Drosophila melanogaster: one gene and its partner. The protein of the gene in region 2 interacts with the protein of the main gene of each other region in a pairwise test. Each region holds a gene or a part of one and is shown on either strand. Other genes may lie near its edges.

The links. Proteins that work in one complex are often made in the same cells at the same time.
Region 1: the proteins of Mhcl (region 2) and rols interact in a two-hybrid assay, tested with the Drosophila melanogaster proteins (one study listed by BioGRID).

What each region holds. Positions count from the first base shown.
Region 1 is NT_037436.4:12,061,809-12,066,630, forward strand, and holds the start of rols (rolling pebbles), read right to left. Parts: upstream 3,052-4,822; 5' UTR 2,754-3,051; intron 102-2,753; 5' UTR 101-101; coding exon 1-100.
Region 2 is NT_033777.3:16,095,711-16,100,551, reverse strand, and holds the start of Mhcl (myosin heavy chain-like), read left to right. Parts: upstream 1-1,790; 5' UTR 1,791-1,921; intron 1,922-2,931; 5' UTR 2,932-2,963; coding exon 2,964-3,416; intron 3,417-3,478; coding exon 3,479-4,297; intron 4,298-4,603; coding exon 4,604-4,747; intron 4,748-4,841.

The DNA of each region.
Region 1 (4,822 bases), on a different chromosome or scaffold from region 2:
TGGCCATCACCTTGGGCGGCGGGTTGATCGGCAGCGGCGGTGTCTGTAGCTCCGATTGGTCACCTTCCATCGCGAGCGCAATTTGCTGCAGCGAGGGCATACTGTAAAATATTTAAATATATTATTTTCATATTTAAAAGTATTTCAAAAATGGGGTTAATGCTTTTTTTATTTTTTTTAGCTTACGGTTAAAATACAATCTTAAAGTCAACAAGAAGTATGGCACTGTACATTTAAAAGTATCTTTGTATGGATTTGAGCTATAAAAGGTAATGCTTTCTTTGCATTTCTCCCCATTTACGAGCACCAGTAGCTTCTCTAAACACCACTGTACCTGACTAATGCCGCACATTAAACATAATTTGACATATGTAATTTTGGGGCTGTCTTGATTTTAACGGTCCTCCATGAAAACGCACTCGAATATGGGGATTTCCAGCGGAAATGAGTTCAGATCAGTTGAGCTAGCTAGGCAGATAAAAACACGGAGAAATACTTTGTCCCAATCTACAAAACTATCTTTTTAAACCAAATCTGATTTGTTACAATCTGATTTCTGTGCTGACTATCTGTATCTTTCCATATGAATTTAAATGTAATAAAAATGCAAAATAGCTATAGTTTGATTTCGGGCTTAGATCCTAAAATTGTAATTGTAAGTCTGTAATGGGCGGGCTTCTAGTTTAGAGTTCACTTTAGCTCGTGGCATGGATTTCTCTCAGTGTAGGTGCATCTTGAGGTGCGAGCTTGTGCTTGTGAGATAGCGATAAGCCGGGACAACTTTAATGCCACTTAATGCCCAGCGAACAGTGGGACGTGAAATTGTCCCAACATCAATCTTCGGCTCCAGCAGTTCCCACATGGAAGGAGGCAGCCCGGGGAAATGGGGCACATGGGGTACTGCGGTACATGGCAACTGCAGACATGCAGGGCACTGCGGAGCACACAGGAATGGAGACGGAAGTGTCCCCCAGGCGATAGACAACGAACTTCCCCTCGTTTTTATGGCCACATGCGCATCTCGCTCACATTTGGTGCGCGTGCGTATCTTTCTATCTTGTTCAAGTGTGAGGGTGCCCCCTGCAGCGATTCTGGTGTTTTCCTCAGCTGCTTCTTCCTCGGTGCAAGGAACTCGAAGTACAGTGGATCTTAAGTAACATGAAATCAAATATCAGAGGGTATAGTATGCACTTTCCAGGAATATTCGAACAATTACAATACCTATAATAGGTTTTAACTATGCGAGATTTTCTTAGAAATGAAAGTTGGGCTTAGCGAAGTTTGACTGTAGTTCTTTAGCAATGTCATCGGCCTCTTGACATATCCATCCCCCCTTCCTCTGCTCCCCCTAACTTTCCCCTCGACTAGGTGTTGCAATAGTTATTGTTGCTGCCGTTGGGTCCCCCATTCCATTATTTTAGATTCGCTGGGGAAAAACTAACGTTTGGCTTGTGCCACTGCCACCACAAGTTGCAAGTTGACTTTGGCAGTGCAAAGTTTTAAATAAACATTGCCATCGGTTGGTTTGCGGGCAAATTCGCTTTAGTCGGGGCTGAACTTGGTTTGCAGTTTGCTTAGGTTTGGCGATTATGCACTGCTATTTTTTAGTTTTTGCAGTTTTGTATTTAAGAAATATCTTTGAAAAGCGGCACAAAAATATTATGAATATCTATTAAAATGGTTTTGGAGCCATATAAGGTTAATATAGCTATATCTATCTAATGGCATATATGATTATATCATATTTACTATAGGGAAGTAACTTATATTAATAAATATATCTGATCAAATCATTATGCCTTCATTCTTCTGTCGTCTTTATAAATCTTACTTACATTTACTTATGTATATAGATTAGCTATTACATTTTTTTGCAGTGTAGATTTTCCACAAAACTAATGCAACAAACAAATTACTCTAGGCGACGAAAAACTACACATCCCTAAGCGGTACGAAAATAGATCGGCCAAACGATCGGCGGCGGAAAACTGGGGTTGGCGGCGCGCCGTGGTTGCATTTGTTGTATTTGTAGTTGTTTGTCGTGCGCCAAGGGGCGTGGCGCGAAGGGAGGGCGTGGGGATGCAGGGGGCTCTAGGATCCCCAGCAAACTGCATTAAACTACTTTCCGTGCAGTTTATTGCTTCGTCTGCGCGCGTTTCTACTTTTAGCTATGCCACGGCTGAGGTTGTGTGCGTGTGGAGTATCTGTGAGAGTCTTGAACTTGTGCTTCTTTCTTTCACTCTTTTTGTGTTGTTTACATCTTATTATTTTTTTTTTTTTTCATTTTTACACATTTTCGAGCCAATGGGCGCCCCATCGAACATGCGACATTTTTCAGTTGGTTCCCAATTTAAATTCAGCTGCCTTTGTTTCGGCTCGCCGCTCAAGACATTTCCACTTAAATGCCCTGGGATATGGTCACTGAACGATGCTCCCTTTTTAGGACCCGATCCGCCAGATCGGCGAGATATTGCGCATTCCACCAGATACTAGGCGACATCGAATTACTTGGGCATTACTCATTGCGCGATTATATTGAGCTTTTATAAAAAACTTATTCAGAAAGTTATATGAAATTCTTTGAGAAATGTACTAGGTAATAGTAAATTGAATGGATCTTTATGGATTTTTAAAGTCAAGCTGTTGTAGTTTCATATCCGCCAAATGATTGAAGTGCATTCATTTGAACTTTAATGATTTTAATAATCAAAAAAGTATGCTACAATATATGCGTATACATTTTTAATACAAACCTTTAATATCTTTTATAATTCCTCTGCTTGTACAAGATGATAAGTTCTAGTTGGAACAATCCTGGAATTTCAGTTTTCCCTTCCGTTTTTAAGATCTATCCGCACAGTGGATGTTTAACAATATATATTTTAGGAACTTTATGCAATCACGATTTAGGTTTTTCAATGGTAGTGCCACTTTTGTCAATATTCTTTCACATTCACTTTATCACTGATAATCCAATGTGGCAATTAATCCGATTGGCGCTGCTGTATCCGTATCTTGTGTCCGCCGTAACCGAATCCGTATCCGTACCGAACGCGCGCTGGAATGCAATTGAGACGAGCGGATTGCCGAGCTGACGGCAACTGCATCCGATGGATGCAATGGAATATCAGAAGTGAGGCAGCGCAGCCGCAACAGCGCCCTCGGCAACAGGAGGATATATACTATGCGTAGATGCTCAGATACATCCGTGCATTCGGATGTACGTGTATCTGCCCCAATGCTAACTAGACGAAGAAGCAAAGACGGCGCTAAAAATAGTCGCGGGTGCAGAACGTGAAGTCAGCGCCGGTCCATCACTTTTGTTAGATTCCGTTTCCAGAGCTGCGTTGCCCATTTGGACATTTTTCAGCCAAAAGTTGGAAAATCAAATAGTTCTCCAATCGTGCATAGAATTATTACATAATATTTTTAAATATTTTGCAAACTATAATTATACAGTTTATAAGTATTTAATTTTCTTTTATTATAGATTTAATTAACTTCATTTATCATATTATTTTAGCAACATTTACATTTCATTCTGAACATATCTGGCTTCGAAAGCAGACGTTGCGTCTGTTCTCGCTGCACCCCGCGAAGTGTTCTCGGTTTCTAATGGGATGTGCCCCATCTTTTCCCAAGAAAAGGGGGTGAGTGGGGGTGGACTCGAGCGGAGTGGAGTTTGGCAGCGAAACCAAAGTGTCGCTTGCTTGGTTGCCATTTAATTGCACTGCGATCTTGGCTGTCGGACTTTACTCTGTGTGTTTAGGGGAGTGGAATGGTCGAAGTATACCCCAAAAGTCTTAACATGGCAGAATTATGACTAAGTTTATATATCCAAATCGTTAGTGAAAGATGGGAACTGCAACTTTACAAAGCTCTAACGAGTTACATAAGTAACATTAATATGTTATATATGTACAATGATCAATAATAAGTTTTGAGATACATATGCATATGTAGGTTTAATTCCAATTTCAGGTATTTTCGATTTCCATTTATACATCAATTTTTAAATGTATTTTAAATTCACTGTTTCGTTTTATTATAAACAACTCGTAAATTGCAATGATGCAACACCTGTTGGAGTGATTAGCAAATGCTGTCATTGGCCACAGATTACATATTATTTTCTGCGTTGCTGCATTCTTTTCCAATTAGCCTAGATCCCGGTGACTGTACCTGGGAATCCAGAACCACCTAAACCACAACCCCAATAAGCAATCCTGAGCCGGAGTTCAATGCCCATAGGGTGAGATTTTCCAACGCAACGGCAACAAGTCTGCCGCGCAGGACGGGATACAATTGCAGTTCGTTCAACCCGGAGGCCAAGGATGAGCCGAGGTGAGCACATGGGGCTGGCATCCACGGATCTATGCGACGGAAATGGACTAATTTTTCATGTTTTGAAATTGGATGACAGCGACAGGAGGACACACTTCCCGCGAAGGCGGCGACGCATGCGCAGTACGGAACGGAGTTCGTCGACCTCGCGGATCGAAGATACAAGATGCATCCGTGTACTAAGTAGTTATAGTTACGCACGGATTGTATTACACGATAGATGAACGCTTCGCTGGAACTGCTGCGCTCAGGCGCTGGAATTTCGGTGATTTTTCCTAGCAACTGTTTCAATTTCTCGCTTTCCCCGTATTTATCTTTGCCCACTTTAATATCACTTCCACTTTCCACCGTGCGACTCCCATTCGTTCTCGTCCCCTTGGTGTTTGAATGATTTGTGACAAATGGTCGGCCTGCTCAAGAAATCCTCTTAATCTTGGAAGATTACTCGAGCACTCCACGTACTGATAAATTATTGTGG
Region 2 (4,841 bases):
GCGCTTGCGTCAGCAGCTGGTGCAAAACATTTGCGGCATTTCCGTCGCCAGAAAGGGATTGAATTGGATTGAGGACTGTGATTCTGATTGTATCGAATTGGATGGGTTGGTATGGTGTGGCATGGTATGGGATTGGATTCTTAGTCACTGGCCCACATGCAGATGTAGGCGCCATCGTCGCCTTGTTGTTGCTGCCACTTTCGGCTTCAAACGAAATTCCCCGCCATGTTACGCAGCGACACGGCGATACGAGTGAAAATTGTTCGCGATTGCATTTAGCGCGAAATTAAATCAAAACAAGTCGACGGCGGCGACTGTTCATGAACTTATGTATATGCATATATAATACATACATATACATATGTACACATACAGGGGACTCGCAGGCGGCACTCGCACTCGTACTCGCACTCACACTGGCACAACTGCAAAAGCAAAAGCATATTCATTTACAATTTGCGAAAATGTCAACGACGGATGGCCGCCGGCTGTACAAATGTCGCTATCTATCTAAAACTGTAAACAAATGTACATAAAATAAAAATCGACAAAATACACACACAGGCATAAGCGGACAGGCGCTCGCACACCGAGGCAGTCACACAGACAGGGCTGCATTGCAAAGTGCGAGTGAGGCCAGACTGTGGGTGCGAGGGGGAGGGAGACAGACAGTACGCGTGTCTGCCACAAAGGTGTATGAGTGTGAGTGTATGTGTGAGTGTCTGGCCGTGTGCGTGTGATTGTCTGGCCGTGTGGGTGTGAGTGGCTGAGTGAGTGAACCACCGAGTGTGCGAGTGTGTGTGGGCAGCGGCGACCTAGCAGCGCAACATGTCAAATCACTTCGTGGAAATGGAAATTGTGGAAATGCTGGTGAAAAATACAAGAACCCACCTAGTTTTGTAAAAAAAAAAACCCGACTTTTGCTTTCCCTACTGCACTGCGGTTTGTTTTCCTACTCGTTTTGGTATTTTCCTTTAGATGGTGACGGCAGCGACAACGTCACAGGCCTTCTTATTATTGTGCGTGTGTTGTTGTTGCTGCTTGCTATTGTTGTTGTTGCTGCTGCTGCTGTAGTTGTTGTTGTGTTAAGGTGCCAGACACCAGAGGACGGAACGAAACACACACAATCTCGCACTCGCGCACTGGAAGTCGATTTCCGCCACCCGGGCGTTTCCACTTGGTGTTTTCTTGCCTTCCAAAGCAACGTTGCATCAATTGCAAATGCTTAAAAACGTAGTTTTCATAAACAGAAGCACGCACACAGGCAAAGTAAATTTTCCAAGTACCGTTTAGTTTTTACGCTTCACTTTTTTTCGATAACTGGCTCGATAACTGATTCGATCCGCGTTGCCACCTGTTTTAGCGATAGTTAGGCGACTGTTACGGTGGAAAGATGCCAGAGAGAGACATTATTTAAGAGCTGTACAACGCGCAAATATCCCTTAAATTTAAATTAAATGTTTTAGAAGGCAATAGTTCTGTTTTCTGACTGTCTAGGCCGACTCTTTAACTAGAATTCACTTCAAATTTGAATGTATGAACTGCAGATTAATAATAATGCTGTATTGTTATTAAATTCATTTTTAAAAACTTTATTTTATATGCTATGTATACAAAACTATTTCTTATATCGACAAATTGTTATAACTTTTCAAAGCATAATTGATCAAAAATTTGGAAGCCCTATCAATTTTATATATGGTTCCTGTCCGCACTAAGTAGATACTCTGATAAGTATGACCATGTGTAAGTAGCTAGAAAAAGTCAGTTCTCTTTTCCAGTTTCCCAGATCAAATTTGATATTCACCTCTTTGGGCACTCTTGCTCAGATTTGTTTATGCAGAACGCGAAGTCTCCTTTGAATCCGAAAAAAAAACAAAAAACGAGTAGCGAATAAAGTGCCCCATTGGCACAAAACGAGGTAAATAACTTGCAACCCAATCGGAAGGGAGAACATAGCATGCCACTTTCAAATAAACAAATAACGACTCCAGCGCGACTGTGTGTGCGTGAGTCCCTCCCAATGTTTGTGTGTGTTATCAAAAAAGGCGTAGAAAAGTGCAAAAACAAAGGTGTTATTGACTCTCAACTTTCTTTTTCTGCCTATCGTGTGTATCACTGTGGGCTGTGGCCGAATAAGAGCGTTCGCCGAATATGAGCAATTGGAAAAGCATGAGCATAAGTAATGAGGCAGAATCGGTTGCATTCAATTAGTTGGAGAAATGAAAAATATGAAGAGATGGTGTAGAGAGAAGGGAAGAGTGCAGTCTCGAGCAATCAATACCAACGCAGCCACGAGCCCCCCTTTCTTTGTGTGTGTGTGTGTTACCGTGTGAAAACAAAACAAATGTATGCTAGCTGTGGAAAAGAAAGCGCATAATTGAATAATAAATAATAACAGAAACAGGGCAAATGGCAACGACTCAATGACAAAAGTAAAGCCGCCACCGCAGCAGAAGAAATGTGGGTGCAAAAGTGAAGAAATATGCCATTGTTTATGTGATTTGCAAATGTGCACATTCACACAAACACCGTGGCAAGATAACGGTTGTTGTGCGGGCGGGTGCATTGCTCGAAGTGGCTGTGCAATTGTAAGAGCGAGATAGCAATACGAAGAGAACAGGACTGAGCAGTACAGGGGCGAAATCCAGGGGACCTTAAACGTGGATTATGGGCACCTTAAATGTTTTTGTAAAATCAAATCACATAAATACCGTACTTTAAACTATTCAGTGAATTAAAATTGTGTTACTGATTTTAAAAATGTAAGTTGTAATTTCAAGTTTGGAAATGAACGGTATGCCCTGCACGTTTGTCTAGATCCACCCCTGGATAGAGCGCAGCAAAGAGAACAGTGCAAATCGAATTAGTCCAGACTTTTGGTCACGCCCTTGAACTTCGCATTAACCCACCAACGCCCCCCTTCCGCAGCTAGCACCTAAGGACCCCACACACCACATAAGATGTTCAACTTTATGAAGAAGAGCGCTGGGGATGAGGACAAGGAGCGTCGCAAGCGCGAAAAAAAACTGCGCAAAGAGGCTAAGGGCACCTCTGGTGGCCCGGGAATGGGAGGCGTGACTGGCGTCACCGGCAGCATGAGCACCGACGAGCTGCTCCGCCTGGACGAGGTGCGCCGATCGCTTAAAATCCGAGGGCGACGCAAGGAGAAGGAAAAGTTGCCGAGCGGAATTACGGCGGACTATAGCGCAGACTTCTTTGCCGCCCTCAATGCAGATGCAAACGGCGGAAGCAACGGAGGAGCAGTGGGAGCTGCAGATCCCGAGCAGGATCGTGGCAATGAGGAGATTGTAGCATCTGTGATGACGCACATCGAGAGCCGAGCGTCCAATGGCGCCGGCGTGAGTGTCAACTACAGCGAGGTCACACATTCTCTCCTCTCTGGAGGGCTCAAGGTGAGGTCTTTGTCGTTTTCTTATCCGAAATCGTATTGAAAAACTTTGCTTCCACATTCCAGAATCGCTTTCTTCCACCTATACCCCCAAAACCACCCAAGCGTGGCATTCTGAAAGGCTCCCGCAGTAATATGACCAATGTCCACGAGGAGATTAGCTTTGCGGGTAGTGCCGGAGGAGCAGGTGGCACGCCAGAGATGCTATTGCGCAACACCTTTCAGAATGAATCCCTTTACGAGGGAGCTGCCAGGGGAGCTGGTTCGATCGGCTCGAACTCCAGTCAGCATGGAACCTCGTTCACTTCCGTGGAGAGCCTGCGCAGCGATGGAGAGCAGACAGGAGGTCAACAACGGGCCATGACCCTGCCGGCCAACGCCCGCTATGGAGCTTTACCCCAGGGCAACAGTCAAGGATCGCACCTCCATGTGCTCACCTCGCCGTCGCCCAGCGCCGACAGTCTCACAGATACCACAAACTCCTCTTTCGCCACACCCCCATTTTCGCTGAGTCCCGTCGGCGAGTCCCAAGGCATCGACCGTTGGGCCCGCGTCCATGCCTTCGAGGATGTGGAGCTGCCGCTGCCGCCAGTGCAGCTAGTAAAACTTCCCCCACCAAGGCAGCTAGTGATCAGGCGACAGAAGTCTCCGCGCCAGGACTTCGGCTTTAGCCTGCGCAAGGCCATCTGTTTGGACAGAACAGAGTCCCTGACTTCGCCCATTTTCAGGCCGGTTATATTCGCCGAGCCAGGTGCTGGTGGCGGAGCCACAGGTCTTTTGCCTGGCGATCGCCTAATCAAGGTCAACGGCACGCCGGTTGGGGAACTGCCGCGGGAGATCATAATTGAGATGATACGGAACAGCGGAGAGGCTGTCACCGTGGAGGTATGTTGTTCTAAGAATTTCCTAATTCCTTTTATGTGCATACGCTAAAATAAGAATTAAAGTATGATAAGAAAAGATATGATAAGAACACCTTTCATTTTATGGCTCACAGGTAAATACCTGACAACTTTGTTAAAGTTTTGCATGAATTGTTAATATGTGATTATGTTTTGTTTCATCATAAGCAATCCCTCTACGTCGGAGTTTTGTATAAAATGCGTTATTTGGTTATTATAGGAATATTTAGCTGGTAAACTTTTACTTTGTAAAATTCTAATATTCTTGAATCCCTTGCCACCCACCCAGGTCCAACCAGTCGCTGAGTTGGTGGAGCTGAGCAAGCGATGCATGGCCCCCAGCACAGCCACCGTGGAGGAGATCGATCATTCCATTACCAACGGCAACTGCAATACCCTGCGACGCAGTGCCAGCAAGCGCTTCAAGCGTCAGGTGAGTCGAGATCGCATCCATTAGTGGGTCTAGCTTACACACGTGATTGATGGACCAGGCAGGCCGTCATCACAGTACTGCAACGAACCAAACC